4 linked regions of the Rattus norvegicus genome follow. The protein of the gene in region 1 purifies or fractionates together with the protein of each later gene. This does not show direct contact. Links are inferred from orthologs where the notes say so. Each region holds a gene or a part of one and is shown in the gene's direction. Other genes may lie near its edges.

What was found. Proteins that work in one complex are often made in the same cells at the same time.
Region 2: the proteins of Hnrnpc (region 1) and Hnrnpr purify together in Homo sapiens (affinity purification with mass spectrometry; 3 studies listed by BioGRID and IntAct, with this or other methods). This does not show direct contact. The link is inferred for Rattus norvegicus from reciprocal best matches to the Homo sapiens genes HNRNPC and HNRNPR.
Region 3: the proteins of Hnrnpc (region 1) and Ncbp1 purify together in Homo sapiens (co-immunoprecipitation; 3 studies listed by BioGRID and IntAct, with this or other methods). This does not show direct contact. The link is inferred for Rattus norvegicus from reciprocal best matches to the Homo sapiens genes HNRNPC and NCBP1.
Region 4: the proteins of Hnrnpc (region 1) and Snw1 purify together in Homo sapiens (affinity purification with mass spectrometry; 3 studies listed by BioGRID and IntAct, with this or other methods). This does not show direct contact. The link is inferred for Rattus norvegicus from reciprocal best matches to the Homo sapiens genes HNRNPC and SNW1.

Annotation. Positions count from the first base shown.
Region 1 is NC_086033.1:27,278,849-27,284,572, reverse strand, and holds the start of Hnrnpc (heterogeneous nuclear ribonucleoprotein C), read left to right. Parts: upstream 1-1,857; 5' UTR 1,858-2,011; intron 2,012-2,595; exon of another isoform or gene 2,596-2,632; intron 2,633-5,050; exon of another isoform or gene 5,051-5,119; intron 5,120-5,724. UniProt on the Homo sapiens protein: Binds pre-mRNA and nucleates the assembly of 40S hnRNP particles. Interacts with poly-U tracts in the 3'-UTR or 5'-UTR of mRNA and modulates the stability and the level of translation of bound mRNA molecules. Single HNRNPC tetramers bind 230-240 nucleotides.
Region 2 is NC_086023.1:153,847,019-153,850,518, forward strand, and holds part of Hnrnpr (heterogeneous nuclear ribonucleoprotein R), read left to right. Parts: intron 1-1,829; coding exon of another isoform or gene 1,830-1,855; exon of another isoform or gene 1,856-1,894; coding exon of another isoform or gene 1,895-1,904; coding exon 1,905-2,110; intron 2,111-3,500. UniProt on the Homo sapiens protein: Component of ribonucleosomes, which are complexes of at least 20 other different heterogeneous nuclear ribonucleoproteins (hnRNP). hnRNP play an important role in processing of precursor mRNA in the nucleus.
Region 3 is NC_086023.1:65,232,132-65,235,631, forward strand, and holds part of Ncbp1 (nuclear cap-binding protein subunit 1), read left to right. Parts: exon of another isoform or gene 1-182; coding exon 183-247; exon of another isoform or gene 248-338; coding exon of another isoform or gene 339-355; intron 356-1,225; coding exon 1,226-1,288; intron 1,289-2,109; coding exon 2,110-2,184; intron 2,185-2,983; coding exon 2,984-3,087; intron 3,088-3,500. UniProt on the Homo sapiens protein: Component of the cap-binding complex (CBC), which binds cotranscriptionally to the 5'-cap of pre-mRNAs and is involved in various processes such as pre-mRNA splicing, translation regulation, nonsense-mediated mRNA decay, RNA-mediated gene silencing (RNAi) by microRNAs (miRNAs) and mRNA export.
Region 4 is NC_086024.1:112,829,960-112,833,459, reverse strand, and holds part of Snw1 (SNW domain-containing protein 1), read left to right. Parts: intron 1-1,033; coding exon 1,034-1,175; intron 1,176-2,726; coding exon 2,727-2,823; intron 2,824-3,500. UniProt on the Homo sapiens protein: Involved in pre-mRNA splicing as component of the spliceosome. As a component of the minor spliceosome, involved in the splicing of U12-type introns in pre-mRNAs.

The DNA of each region.
Region 1 (5,724 bases):
AGAGGGTAACCTGGTCTACAGAGTTCCAGGAAACCCTGTCTCGCAAAAACAAAAATGAATGAATGAATGAATGAATGAATGGAGTTAACCTTTCATTTGGAAAAGCCAAAAATTCCATAGATCTCCCTCACTTTGTAAAATTTTTGGGCAAACCTTTCAATTTCTTTCACCTGGTAAATCATTTATTTACACATATGTTCCCTTTTTTGTATTTCTGGAGACTGATGGCCCGAAGCCATCCTGTTCTTCTTTTTTCTTCATGTCATTTTCTCCAAGTCTTTTAGAACCTGCATAGTCTTGAAAGGTCAAAACACTGCCCACGGGAAAGACACAGTCACCACCTGTGTCAGAATAAAAGTCAAGACCAGAAGTGGTTACACTATCATCGGATCTCAGCATGCTGAGGGCAGAGGTAGGAGGATCACTGTGGGATGGATGCCAGCCTGGTCTACATACAGGCTGCATAGTCTGACCCTGACTAAATAAGTAGCAAAAAAACCAAAGCGAACTTCCTGCTTGCTACTCTGGTTTGGATTCAGGTGCACCTCCCTCACCAAAGCCAACTTCTTTACAGAACTGCTTTGCCTGTGCTTAGGAGCTCTGTCAGAGGAGATCATTGCGTGTTTGTTCCTAACACCAGGGAAGTGAAAACAGAAGGAACCTGGGGTTCAATGGCCCGCAAGCCTAGCCATGAAGGGCTTCCCATTTGTCTGTCTACCTACCTACCTCTACCTAGGTACTTATATTTATTGTTTTTTCGACAGAGAGTTTCACTATACAGCCCTAGCTGTCCTGAAACTTGAGTAGACTGGCCTTGCACTAGAAATACCGCCTAGCCCAAACCTTTCTTTAAAGAAAAAAAAAATAAAATAAAATTGGGAACACATAAACTCGCTGGACTGGAACATTTAAAATAAATCCTTTGAAAATGTCAAAGGTTTAAAGGTCTAAAGAAGACCTAAAAGATTATTTTTTATTTTTAAATCAGGAAATTTCCTGGGGTACTCTTTCCCTTTCTCAGTAGGCTATATACATTTTTGGCCTGTTTAATGTTTCTACAGTGTAACCAGAGCTTTACTGGCCGAGCTGAGGGGGTTAAGTAGTATCAAGCTATTGCAGGAAGTGGGAAACTGAGGCGGCTGGCCATTGGTTTTGCAGATTGTGTGACGACTTGGGCCCAGGAAACGGGTTTATAGGGGTCTAGGCAATTGCTCTTATAGGAGAGAACTATGGAAACCAGTTGGTTTGGAGGGAGCTGTTCACTGACAAGGCCACGTCCTTCCAATAGCTTATAGAATCTGGCAATGAGAGGGGATCTGAATTTGAAAATAACTGCAGACCTGTTTAGTTTTTAACACTTCAGGCGGCCTAGGGATTACGATCCTCCCTTCTCTAAAGCTTGTTTGCACTTCCCTTTTTTTCCAAGGCCTGAGGCTAGGGCAGGCCCTTTGCACCCGCTACCAGACTCCACCCAGGCTTTCCCACCTCCGTGCCGCGGAAATGCGGTGATCTGGCCGGACCTAGGATCTCTAGGAAGCACTGATAGGACGACACGGCCGTCAGTCAGGTCCGCCGGATACCCGGATGAGAAGCTGTGCGCGATACAAAGGCGAAAATTCCACCCAGCTTTCCGTCTGGTACAGTGACCAATAACCATCCGTCAGACACTAAGTGATAGAAAGCTTAACCAATTACTAAGTAGCTTTTGTTACGCATGTGGAAATTCTCCCAATTAGCCCAACCCACCTCGTGTGATGATTGGACGGAATTGTGAGGAGCGGTAACGCTATCTAATTAGGAGCGGGAGCGAGAAAAGTCACAGCCAATAGAAACGCCTCCGGGAGCGGGGCGGGGGCTGGACTTTTGCCTCGGCGGCAGAGGAGCTCGGGGGCCATTTTGTGAAGAGACGGAGAGCGAACGGTCGTGTGGTTCCTTGCTGTTGTAGCTCCGGCTTCTCGGCGTAGACCCGCAGTAGGAGAGGCAGGCTCTTCTCTCTCTCTCCTTCCTCTTGGTAAGCGGAGAGGGCGAGGGCAGGGGAGGCCCTGGGTTGCTGGGCCCCGCGAGGGGGTTGTAGGCGAGAAAACGGCCTCGCGGCAGAAACCGAGGCCGCGTTTGTTCCTGTGCGTTGGGGATTGGGTCTAAGGCGGGAGGCAACAGGCCTCGGCCTTGGCGCAGGTTCAACCTAGTGACCTCTAGGCCACGGTGCGTACGAAAATACCCTCTTTGCGCGCTGGTGTTTAACGGCTACTTTCATTTCCTTCCCCCATTAGGATTCCAAGGGGGAGCAGGGGAGCAAGAAAGCGAAGAACGAAATGCTTGTTAATGTAATTGTAGTGAATCTCTTACTCCGTTATTGTCTTCTAAGCTAAATGTCGGGCGTGGGTGGGGGAGCGATAACATGGTGGTGTAGTACTGGAAGCTTCTAAATTCCAGGCCGGCCACATGGCATCTGAACGGCGTTTTAACAATAGATTAAGTAGTGATTACTTTTTTCTTCAAGGGATAGATGGGTAAAAGTCGGGAGTGCTTTTGGTTTGTAAAGGGAAGTGCCCAAGGTAAATTGTAATTGGAATAATTACAGCTTTTTATCTGCAGGTTACAAATCACATAAGTTAGTGGAACTTTGCTTGAGGTAGGTACTGCTGTCCTAGAGAGAAGTGAGACTTAAAAGTGGTTGACAGGACCGGACTAAATCAGTAGTAGAGAAACTAAGATATTTCTAGGCAGGTCAAGTTACTAGAATAGACTATACACAAGAAGAGACTTAGCCGGTAGGTGGTGACAGTGCACGCCAAATGCCTCCCACCACTTGGGAGGCAGAGACAGGCAGATCTCTCTGAGTTGTGGGCCAGCCTGGTCACAGAGAGAGAGTTCCAGGACAGCTCGGGCTACACAGAGAAGCCCTGTCTCAAAAAGGGGGGTGGGGTGGGAATGAGTTTTTCTTTTTAGAGGAACCTGATACCGAAATTTACAGGACATTTTCAATCTGGACTTGGGAACAATAATTAAAAGGCACAGAAATAGTTTACAGATACTCCAGTATTAATCCTACCCATCTAGAATGGAAAAAAAGCAGTTTACAGCTAGTTATGGTAGTGCAGGCCCGGAATGTTTGCATTCTGGAGGTTCAGAGACAGGAAGATCCTGAGCAAGATCCCATTGCAAGGCAGCCCAGGACTACATAGTAAAACATGTTTAAAAATTAAAGTAGTTGCTCTCTTGTAGGTGTTGAGTTCTTTTTTTTTTTTTTTTTAGATTTATTTATTCTATATAAGTACACTGTTGCTGTCTTCAGACACACCAGAAGAGGGCATCAGATCTCTTATTACTGATGGTTGTGAGCCACCATGTGGTTGCTGGGAATTGAACTCAGGACCTCTGGAAGAGCAGTCAGTGCTCTTAACCCCTGAGCCATCTCCTCCGTCCGAGTTCTTTTAAATATAGCTAGTGATAGTGCTTAGGATTCAAGATGCCCAGGATTCAATCTCCCATACTAATAAAGGGTTTTTGTGTCACATTAACTTACCTGGGAGTTATTTCATTAGATAAACTTATTATAAAATTGGTATTTCACTCTGGCACAGTTTTTAATCTCAGCACTAGGAAGGCAGGAGATCTGAATGTAGAGTAAATCTAGTAATTCTAGGACAGCCAGGGCTATACAGAAAACAATGGGTTTGATTAAGTGACAAAAATATGCTACTAATCTTAGTTTAAACTATACACACATTTTACTCTTAAGCATACTTCATGGAATGTGCATGGCCTACTCTTGTAATTTGAGCACTTGGGGGATAGAGGTAGGAAGAGTTCAAGGCCATCCTTGGTCCAGCTTGGAGTATTAAGACTGTCTAAAGAAGAACAAATGCAGACAAAGGAAAAAAAAACAGCCTCCCACATTTTTTGTTTGGTTTCTCTGTGCAATAGGCCTGGCTTTTCTGAACCCACTGTCTTGATTAGGCTGGCCTTGAACTCTGATCCACCTGCCTCCGCCTAAGTAAGAGATGGGATTAAAGGCATGTGCCTTTAAAAAGTAGATAGAGTACAGGGTTTTGCCTGGTGAACAGTGAAAACTAGGTAAGAGAAAGTATTATAAATGTCAGAAGTTATGCAAGGTTACTGGTAGTAGTTGATGTATACTTGCCATTAAGTGTTATAAATGTAGGCCAGGCTTGGTAGGCACCTTGTTCTGGTAGAACATGTGGATTTCTTGGAGTTTTGAGGCCAGACTCAAATTACATTTTTGATTTGACTTGGGAGGAAGCTGTTAAAATTGCAAGGTTTGGATCTCTCATTTGCCATGGTCAAGCCATTTTCCAAAATGGTTGGTAATGGTTACTATTTTTTCTGTAGAGTAATTATAACATGTTTGCAATTTGATCTCTAGATTTATTGGCTTGTGATCTTGTTATAAATGGGCATGGCTGTTCAAGCAAGTAAGGAATATATTCCTAAATAGTTCGTTACAGTCTTATAGATGATGAGTGGAAGTTACTAACTAGGGAAACTACAATTGAAAAATCTTGGCTGTGTAAAACTATGTAAGTATCCAGTAAATTAGACTTCTGGATTTGTTTTGAGATATAAAACAAGCTAAACTACTACTTTATATGGAAATTTTGAGTTCTCATTTAACCCTAGTCATTGCTGAAAGTAGTTGACAAAATACACAAAAAATTGTCCTACCCCACCCCCACCTCTGTTTCCTAAATTATTACTGCCTCTTATTGGTGGAGTATGCACCCCAGTACTTGGGAGGCAGGGGCAGGCAGAGTTGGAGGCTAGCTTAGCTTAAGTAGCTAGTTCCAGGGCAGCCAGTAACAAATGTTATTTTGCTATTGACTACCTTAACAAGAGTATTACTATAAATCGGTCAAGTATATTAGTATTTAGCATTATTTACTTACATTCAACTTTCATTGGAAGGGTTATGGTTTTGTATGAACTAGATTGAAGAATTGGCTGCTGGTGAAAAATAACTTAGGGGTAGCAAAACCTCAGTGTTAAATGTTTTTGAAGAGCTACATTGAGTATTGTTTCCCGTTATTAGTTTAAAAGAAGACCGCTGGGCTCTGGACTACCAATTTCCAGTTGAGTCATGTGGTTCTCTTGACTCATTGTGAGTATCCTTTTAAAAGAGCTCATCCAAACCTTAATGAGAGTTTTGATAGTATAGCCTAGAAATACTTACATTTTTATTTTTCTGTGTATTGCTTGCATGTATGTATATGTGTACACTGTGTATTCTGGACATGTAAGCCACAAAGAAAACATAGGATCCCCTGGAACAAGAATTAGGTTGTGAGCTAGCTTGTGGGTGCTGCAATTAAATGCTCCTGTGAGAGCATTGGCTGAACTATCTTTCCAACTCCTATATACACGCTCTTTATTAAAGGACAGTTTGTTTTTAAAAGTAGCTCATTAGTTCGATAACTTAGGTGAGATAATTTGTTGACATAAAACGTGTAATGCTTCCTTTTTATTTAGCTTTTTTTTTTTTTTGTTTTTGGCTTTTTTCCAGACAGGATTTCTATATAGCTTGGTGCTCTGGCGGGCTGTTCTTAGAATTCTCTATGTAGACCAGGGTGGCCTCCAACTCAGATCCTCTACCTGCCTCAGCCTCCCTAGTGGAGACTAAAGGAGTGCAAAGTTATGCACTGCTACTTTTTTATTAAGCCTATGTCTTGCATGTGTACTAACGATTTTTGTCTTTTAATTAGGTTA
Region 2 (3,500 bases), on another chromosome or scaffold:
GTGTCTGTGTCTGTGTCTGTGTGTACACTGTCACTGTCCTCAGACACACCAGAAGAGGGCATCAAATCCCATTTCAGATGGTTGTGAGCCACCATGTGGTTGCTGGGGACTGAACTCAGGAGCCATCCCTCTAGCCCTACTGACTAGTATAATAATTATAGTGATAATTACTATAGTATAGTATAGTATAGTATAGTATAGTATAGTATAGTATAGTATAGTAATAGTATACTGACTGACTGTATAGTAATTGCTTTCTGTTTGTGTTCTTCTATTCATTCTCCCCTCCAGTATGTGCTTATTAAAGTACCTGCTACACAGTGAGATACAGTGGTGGATAAGAGACCTGGTCTTTGCTGTTTTCTACCTTTAGAAGGCCTACATCTCAGAGAAGAGTTAAGATCAGAAAATTAAAGAAATAATTCTATGTTGTAGAATTACAGAATGTTTCTGTGGTTAGCTTTTATAAGGTTTTATTTCGGGCACGACCTTAAAAACTCAAGAGTATATAGCATACAAAGAACAGAGTTGGGGAATGGAGAGACGGCTCAGTGGTTAAGAGCACTGACTGCTCTTCCAGAAGTCCTGAGTTCAGAGTTCAAATCCCAGCAACCACATAGTGGCTCACAACCATCTGTAATGGGATCTGATGCCCTCTTCTGGTGTGTCTGAAGATAGTATACTCACATACATAAAAGAATAAATTAAAAAATATATTCAAAAAAAGAAGAGAACTTTCCAAAAGATTAACATATACCGTGTCCCAGTCAAGAATAACTTATAGTAAAGTAACTGATAGAAAGCCAATATTTGCTAAAAACAAATTAAAAGTAGAATTATATGAGATGAAGCAGTCAAGGCTCTTAGACCATATAGGAAGTTTGCATTGTATTGCATATAGAATTAGAAGATGTGTGAAGGTCTTTTTTTTTTTTTTTTTTTTTTTTTTGGTTCTTTTTTTTTTCGGAGCTGGGGACCGAACCCAGGGCCTTGCGCTTCCTAGGCAAGCGCTCTACCACTGAGCTAAATCCCCAACCCCAAAACTAACCCTGTGTGAAGGTCTTTTTTCTCCGCATGCCGAGTGCTTTTCTATTCTATGCAGACGAAGGCTTAGAGCTGTCATCAGGATTAGTAGTACTAACCATGGCAATAGTGAGGTGGTAAAAAGTAAATGTGTTAGATTTGGACAGTAGAGATGATGAAAAGAATTACTATTTTCTGGCACGAGGATTTAGCTGAAAGATGACCTGTTTATTAGGTAGGGAAGCCTAGGGAAAGTATACTTTGGGTATGTATAGTAGTGCTGTTTTGCACATGTGAAATTTGTCCGAGGCATTTTAAGTAGCTTATACATCTGGGTCTCTGAGAAATCTAGGCTAGAAAAAGTTTTGTTTATAAGGGTACAGAAAGTACTACGGTTAGCTCACATGACATACGTGGAGGGAGGAAGGACATAAGGTCAGAGGGACTCGACGCGAATGGTTACTGATGGTCCTTGTTCATAGTAAAGAGAGCTGTTATGCTGGATGTCAGAAAGGTGGGTTTTATTTCATTTAGATTTGGTTTTTGGTCTGTGACTAGTAGTTGAGAGTTAGTTCTCTCGCATTTGGGTAAATAATTTGAATCTTGAGGTCCTGATAATGGCTTTATAGATTATGAGGTCGTGTTTTATCATTAATTACAAGATTTCATAGTAGTTGGACCTACTTTAAGAACTCTTTAACAGAACTCATACTACTGTCCCAAACTCTGCATCGAATAATGCTGCTCTGATGTTTGCTACTGTGAGGCCTCTTCAATAATTTTTTTTTTTTTTGCTCATTGGCAAGTGGATTTAGGTCTGCCTAATCACTAGACGTGTGGTGGATGCTTTTGGCTTATATATCTGGCTGTTGGTTTAACAGAGGGTTTGGTGGACGTTATTCTCTATCATCAACCCGATGACAAAAAGAAGAATCGGGGGTTCTGCTTCCTTGAATATGAGGATCACAAGTCAGCAGCACAAGCCAGACGCCGGCTGATGAGTGGAAAAGTCAAAGTGTGGGGAAATGTAGTTACAGTTGAGTGGGCTGACCCCGTGGAAGAACCGGATCCGGAAGTCATGGCAAAGGTAAATACACATTATAGCTGTTCACTGTAACTGCTTAGAAAAACAAAGAGTAGCTGATGCAACACCAGCATAGAATCCTGTCTTCGTGTCTGCTCAGTTCCTCCAGATCAGAGGTGTCAAAGATCTGAAATGAAAGCTAGTAAGTGTTCCATACACACTGGGCATTTATTTAATGTTAGCACCACAAAACATACAAAACATTAGTCAAAAATAATACTATAATAATAAATGTGGTTGATAAATTATTATTTTGTGGTGGGGGAGGGGTAGTCTATATAGCTCAGACTCACTGGGAACTTACTGTGGAGCCCAGGTTGGCTTCTTTTAATCAATTCTCTTGCTCTAGACTCTTGCTACAGACATGAACTGGCTCATGCTATGACTTTGATGATATGGCTTTGAATTACATTTTAGTTAGATTTATAGCTAATTTATTGTAACGTGTCTGTAGTTTCTTTTAGAGTATTGTCCCAATGAAAAAGACAAAAGCTTGCCACACTTGTTGTCAGTGGCAACTAGACTACATCCTCCAAAGAGCAGGTCCTCGGTTTCTTCATTGTCGGGTTTTTGGGGCTTTTCTTTGGATGGTTCCTGGAACTGAAGAGATTCCTCTACTTGTAGCAAGTTTGTGTAGTTCACTGATGGTTCTTTCCGCAGGGAGGCAACTTGACCAATAAACTAGTGTGTGGGCCTTCAAGACTGAAAGATGCAAAACGCTCACCTTGACCAGTTCGGAGGGTTCTGGTTTATATTAGTGTGGTGTGGTCTCTTTGTATGTGCACACATTTTTGGGTTAAACGGAGATGATTCATTGAGAAGAATCTGAGAGGCTCTCAAGAGTTGTGCTTTCTGTTTTTCTGTCTCACCTTCCTTGAGTAGTAGATCAGTGTCCAGGGAGGGGACTAGGAATCTAAGTAGTCTTAGTTCTTTCTTTCCTTTTTTCTTTTTTAATTGTTTGATTTCGGTCTCCATTGTTTGTTGAAGTACATTGTGGCTTTGTGCTATCTATTGGACCTTGGATGCCATGTGTTTTATTTGGGCTGAATAAGTCTCTTAAGTTCACCACAGCTTTGACTTCCATAAGACAAAACATAGCCTCTGCTGCTTTTTAAAAATAAAAGTAAAATGTCTAAAAGTTAAAGGATGTATTATATATTGGGAACAGTAAAATTCCCCAGAAGTCTCAAGGTAGAATTAGTAATTTTGCTTTTTTTATTCATCGCTGATAACTATTCAGGTGGGAGTTCAAAATAAACCCAACTACCACCACCTAGTAACATCCCTGTATAATATTCCTGACTGTCCTGGAACTTGCTTTGTAGACCACACTGGCCTCAAACTCACAAAAGATCTGCCTGCCTCTGCCTCCTGAGTGCTGGGCCTACATCAC
Region 3 (3,500 bases), on another chromosome or scaffold:
GGGTGGATGCAGTGAGAGGTCTCAAATGACTGAGGGGGAGTGGATACAAAGGAGCAGTCAGGGTTACTGTCCAGCGTCGACAGTGTAACTTGAAAAACAAGATTAGCTATGTGAAAAGGAAAGAAACATACCGTCCTTAGGCAGGAGAGTAGGAAGTAGTTCTCCTTACCTTCCGGTCACAGCTTGCACAGGCCACTGAGATGCTGTACATGCGTCTGGACACCATGAGTACCACGTGTGTTGACAGGTACGGCCATTGGTGACATCGTCGCAACTAAGGGCTATGTTAGCGCCTCAGGAATCTTCAGAATCTCATATTCAAAAATTATCAGTGAGAACTACCCCCGTCCATGACCTTGAAACATTTCAAATGATTGAAATCAGTTTGGAGAGAAGTGCTTTAAGAAAGTGTTTTCCAGTGTCTCTAATAGAGTACCAGTTCTGTAAACATTTGAGTACTCCAATGGTCTTCAGGGCATCATTTAACACACTAAGATGTTTCCTGTCCCGAGAGCTACGTGTGTTTAAGTGGGTATATAGGCTGTCCTGAAAAGGTCGTAGTGGGCTTGGAGAGCTCAGCAATTCAGGTTCTGCTCTTCAGAGGACCTGAGTTTGGTTCTCAGCAAGCACATCCTGAAGCTTTGCTCCAGTTCCAGAAGATTCAATACCCGTCTGACCTCTGGCACTGCTGGCACTGTGTACACAGATATGCAGTGTAAACACATAAATGAAGAAGTAGTTACACTCTTAAAAGGTCTTTGAGAGTCTAAGAGCTGGTGAAAAGGCTCAGTGGTTACAGCACTAGCTGCTCTCCCAGGAACCCATGCTTGATTCCCAGCAAAACACGAGAAGCTTACTCTGATTCTGCCATTTGTAAATTATTTGTAAACATTAACTACAATTTATTTTTTTAGCTATTTCCATGTCATAAACAGTTACATGAAAAACTAATATCCTCCTTCATAGCTGTGAGAATTACATAAATATTTTGCACAAAACATGCTTTACTCATGGCTGTTCACTAACAAGAATAAAAGGGAGCCCCATTGTGAGAGCTGAGGAATCTGGGGACATAGGACAGGGAGTCAGACTTTGTTGAGAAAACAAAAGACTACAGGTGGGGTGGGGTTCCCCGAGACAGTTGAGCTGTATTAAGATTTTATAAACTGCTGGTCTAAATTGCACTCTTTGTTTTCTCTTCTCCCTGCTCCACTCCCCAATGTAGGTTTATTAATTGGTTTTCTCATCATCTAAGTAATTTTCAATTCCGCTGGAGCTGGGAAGATTGGTAAGTGTAAGGTTTATCCTTCCTTATTGAAAACAGTTACTATTGGAGATTGCTCAGTCAGTAAAGTGCTTGTTACTCGAACATAAAGACCCAATTGAGCTCCAGAGCCCATGTTAAAAAAAACCCATGTTGAGCCCTTCTTGGTTGCACACACCTTTAATTACAGCACCCAGGAGACAGAGGCACACCCATCTCTAAGAGTTAGGAGCCAGCTACATAACAAGTTCCAGACCAGCTAGCACTGCTCAGTCAGACCCTGGGTTTAAAAAAAGCCAGCTGTGGAGATGTGGGCTTCTAATCCCAGCACCAGGGACATAGAGATTGACAGATCCCTGAAGCTCACTGGCCAGTCACCCTAACCTAATGGGTAAGTTCTGGGCCTAGCGAGAAACACTATCTCAAGTCAAAGTGGGTGCACTGGGGGAACAACGCCCAAGGTTATCCTCTGATCTCCCTGTACAGGTCACACTCATGTATGCAGCACATGAATACATACATACACAGGAAAACCTTAATATTTAAAACTAAAAAAAAAAATATATATATATATGAGTGCTCTGTCTGTTTGCCAGGAGAGAGCATCAGATCCCTTTATAAATGGTCATGAGCTACCATGTGGGTTCTGGGAATTGAACTCAGGACCTCTGGAAGTCAGCCAGTGCTCTTAACCACCAGCCTCTAAAACTCACTTTAAAACAGTTTGTTGTCTCAAGTATTTCTTGATATTTAGTTACTCTATGTGGATGAGGTAAAAGGTAGAGAAACCTCTAACCAGGAACTGAAGGTTATGCATGTTAACGTAATCCAGATTTCCTCCCTAGGTCAGATTGTCTTACTCAGGATCTTGAAAGTCCCAAACCAAAGTTTGTAAGAGAAGTTCTAGAGAAATGTATGAGGTAAGCTCTTTGCATTTTGTTCTCTTAGCTCTCTTAGCTTCTCATGAAGGAAACTGCTGGAACTGGTTATTATCTGACAGGATTTCTCTCTCCTTTGTTTTGTACTTACAATGTTTGTCCATCTTCCAACTCACTTTTAAATGAAGATTTAGGCTACAGTTAGTCTGCTGTACTATTTGGATTTTATGTTAATTAAGCCAATAAGATTCTTTTCAATGTCTCCCAACATTGATGAGCATTTTCTTATTTTCTAAACTTGGGTTTTTATCTAATCTGTGTTTTCTTAGCCCTCTCCGAGAGCCATCTATTTAAAGAGCCTTTAGTTTCTAGTTGATAGAGTATGTTTTGGGGAACTGTGATTTAAGCTCTTAATGTGTATTTTTTAGGGGTAGTTGAGGCCTTTGGGAAGATACCGTGTGCATGCTTGCACGGTATATCCCTCTTTTCACACCCAACATTGTAAATACTATGTAAATGCTCTGTTGGACAGGACAAAGCGTGCCTCTTTCTAGCTCCCACTTATTTCTTTGCCGTGTCACGACCAGCCTCCCAGCCGTGCCATCTGACCTCCACCCGACCCATTCTCACTTGCAGTCTTCCCTGAACGCACGCTGCAGAGTCAGTGTCTGAGCGGCCTGAGCTCACTCACCTATGCTAACTTTCTCAATGGTTGGAAGGACTTGGTCCCCATTTGCGTCTTGGTTGTTCTCTGTGGGATCTTAGATCTGGCTTCTGGGCAGGTTGAGTATTAGCAAAGCCTGAAACATGAGACTTTCTGAGACTCTTGTTTATGTTGTAGGTTGTCTTACCATCAGCATATATTAGATATCGTTCCTCCCACCTTCTCAGCTCTGTGTCCTGCAAACCCAACCTGCATTTACAAGTATGGAGACGAAAGTAGCAGTAAGTAACACTCTCTCCTTAGGAAGTACCGATGGACGCATTCGGGGAAGCTGGTTACCCATAGGAGGGAAGGTTGACGTTCTCAGAATCGTGTTTCTATATTTGAAAAACGACTCACATTAACCACTAGATTAAGGATTTTGTTGTTGTTGTTGTTAGCTTTAGGTTCCTTCTGTTTTATTCTGTTCACAGTGTTTTTCACATGACCTTTTTAATCCAGTACAAAGAGTAGTACTGTACAGAGGGGAATTCTTCCTGGAGTGTACTAAGACTGAAAGTGCGTTTGTTAAGATGGAGACTTGTTGAATTGGTTACCATCTTGTCCTAGTTAGCGTTGCCGTTGCTGTGATGGAGCGCCATGAACACAAGCTGAGGGAACTGTTTGATTGGTTTATACTTCATGTGTCCATTGA
Region 4 (3,500 bases), on another chromosome or scaffold:
TGGCAAGTGTGTACACCAATGGCAGCAGGGGCTAGGTACAGCTCTGTCCGGAGACCTCTAGCAGCATTGGTCCTCCTGTGCCAGAGTATTGTTTCCCTAGGCTAACCTAATTCTTTGAGGATTGCTAGGTACTATTGTGTGTTGTACAGATTTCTTATATTTTAGATGTAGATGTTCCCTGAAGGACAGTTGTAGAGAAGGGTAGGTAAACATTTTGATTTAGGTTACTCACATAATGGCATTGATGGTATGGGCTGTTGACCTTACAGATAGAGTGCTGCTATGGCATGCACACACACATACAAATAAATAAGTGGAGGTTTTGGATATGTTTTGTTTGTTTTTAAGTCTTCAGATGTAGGCAAAGATTTTTGTCTCAAGGGAGAGTTATACGTAAATCTTGGTGGATTTGGTTTTTGAGATAGGATCTGAGTTTCAAGCTCAGGCTATGCTGGAACTCACTGCAAGCAATCCTTCTGCCTCAGCCTCCTGATTTCTAGATTGCACGTATGCACTACCATGTTCAGCTACATTTATTTACCTATTTACTTACATTTGAGGGTGGATCTCACTATGGTTCAGTCCGGCTTCCTTTCTTTAGTTTTGAGACAGGATCCACTGGCTGTCTGGGAACAAACACGAAGACTCAGCTGCCTCTGCCTTCCAAATGCGGGCATTAATGTCGTGCCCCACCATGCCCAGTGCATCCCAGTCTGGTTCTGAACTGGTGGACTCCGATGATCTTCTTTGTGCTAGGTGCTCACCTTAGTGCTCAACCAATACTTCATTTTTGGATTGTTCGCTAAAAAGCATTAATGATGTACTTGACTTATAAAAGTCAACCAGGTTCCCTGTGTTTGCACCATCTAAACATTCCCAAGAGACAAGCCCAGACTTCCAAAGTCATATACTCTTGTTAGACCTTGAAGTCTGTGCAGTTGCTTTTCCAGGCAGGCTGCAGTAAGGAGTTGGAGAGAGCTGTAAATGTGTGTCCCACTGTGAGTTCCACTTAACATCTCACTTTACTAAACAGGCTCGAGAAGCGGTGGAAATGCGAGCCCAAGTGGAGAGAAAGATGGCTCAGAAAGAAAAGGAGAAGCATGAGGAGAAACTCAGAGAAATGGCCCAGAAAGCCAGAGAAAGGAGAGCTGGGATCAAAACCCATGTGGAAAAAGGTATGACATTCTCATTGGAATTTACTTACTGACAATGTATATCTCATTTTAGAAAGTCTCCATGCACTGAGCATGTATGAGGGAGGGTATTTTACAGCATACAAAAGTAGTTTATATGTACAAGAAAAATTGAGTTATTTCAGAAATAATGTAGAAGTAAGCTACCAAAAAGCAAAGAAGTACATATCTTTTAAAAAAAAAAAAAAAAAAAGCCTTTAATATGGGAGAAAGTCACTTGGCAGTATACTTCTGTTCCCAGCACTGAGGAGGCTGAGGCAGGAGAATGAAAAGTTTGAGGACAGCCAGGGCTACATAGTAAGATCCTGTCTCTAAAACAACATAAGCAAATGAAGTCAATTGTATAGAATATAATACAGTGGATAAAGAAAAATAAAACACGGGATATAAACTGCCAGAAGGAAAGGCTTGTCAGAAGAGGCCTTACTTGTTAATGCTAATATTAGTACAAAAACTTGTAAGTAAACCATGTGGCTATCTGGGAGAACATTCTGGATGGAATGAATGATAGGTGACTACAAGAGCCCTTGTGCTTACCCCAGTATAGCTGAGTCCATAGGAGATGTGTCAGAGTAGTTAGGGATCTGACCCAAAGCATCAGGTCAGCCCCGTGACAGCACTGCCCGGGCTGCACCAGTGAGCTCACCCTGCCAGACAGGATTGTGCTGGGCAGGGTCCAGCAGTGTATAACACCGCTAATTCCCACATTCCACACCAGTGGGTTTTGTGGCACTATTAAAGCTGGCCAGCAGTCACCTTAGTTTTTGAAACACAGCCTCTGCTTGGAGCTCACGAATTTAGCTAGGCTGGCTGTTCAGCAAGCTCCAACTAAAGCCTGTACATGGTTCTGTTTTCTTTCCATTTGTTAAAAGTTCTATGTGCTGTGTGTGTGGGGGGGGGGGGGGGGGAGGTGCTGATGTGGATGTGTGTGTGCCTCCTGTAGACACACTGAGTGTCCGTGCTCAATCACTCTTTGTAGTTTGAAGAAAGGATGTCAGAGAGTCGGAAGCTCACCACACTCACTACAATGTCTAGCCGTCTACCGGGCTGCTAGAGGTCCACACTCAGGTCCTCATGCTTGAACAGCAGACATTTTACCAGCTAAGCCATTTCCCCAGCCCTTTCTTTGCATTTTATCCGGACAATTTTCAAAGATAAGGAGGAAGAGCTGAAAGGAATGCTTGATGAAAAGAACAACCTCTCTTCACCTAGACTCTGGTTAATTTTTAAAGACAACTAGTGTGACTGGATTTTACTTCTGTGCATTTCAGTAACTTTGATATAGGAGTCTACAGCCCACAAACTTGGATTTAAATTGACTGCAAGGAATGTTGGAGGGCTGAATGTGACCACAAAGAACAGATGGTGCACACTTATAATCCCAGCAGCAAGGAGAGCCAGTTTGAGGCTAGCCTAGGCCATGTCTCAAGAAAATAGAAAAATACAGCATTTTCTAAGGTTGAAGATCCAGCCCCTTGTGCAAACTATGAGTAGTTAATATAGTGACAAGCTAATTTTCAACTGTGTCCACAGAGGATGGAGAGGCCCGAGAAAGAGATGAAATCCGTCATGACAGGCGAAAAGAGAGGCAGCATGACCGGAACCTTTCCAGAGCAGCTCCTGATAAGAGGTGGGTTGCTACCTACAAGAGTGTGAGTCAGGAAGAAGGGCATTTCTTTAGCTTGGTAATAAATTAAGAACTAACTTTGCCACACTCGAGCTGTTTGTTTTAACAGAATTGAAGCTCCCTAGAAGGTTCCCTGTTTTGTCCTTCACCTCATTGAACTAGTATTAGTTTTGAGAAAGTCTGTCATAGGAAAGGGACTCCAGATCATGTCAGTGCAGAAGGGAAGGATCAGTTGTTCTGTGGGCTTTTTGACTCCCAAGTGGTGGAATAAGTGGCTTGCATGCGTGTGTGTAGATGGGAAGCCAGGCACCATAGCCTTAGCGACCTCCTTTCTAGATCATGTACTGTGCCTGCTGCAGGGAGGAGGGTCAGTGTTGAAGGAAGAGTCTGGACTCCTGTGAACATTCAGTTTAACATTCAGATCGGAGCTTCGTAGATGGGAAAATGAAGTGGTGCAAACAAGCCCGGTACGTTCATAGGAACATAAAGTAGGCAAGTTTGTGAATGAAGTTTGTCATTCACAAGGGCCTGAGGACTGAGGTTGCCTCAAAGTCCAGAAAATGCTGTGCTGCAAAGGTGGAATTCAGGGTTTGAGCTAGATGCAAATAAGAAACACTTTCTTCCCGTATGAGTAATTGTCCACGCTCTGATGATGCTAGAAGCTGGTCCAACCCAGCTTC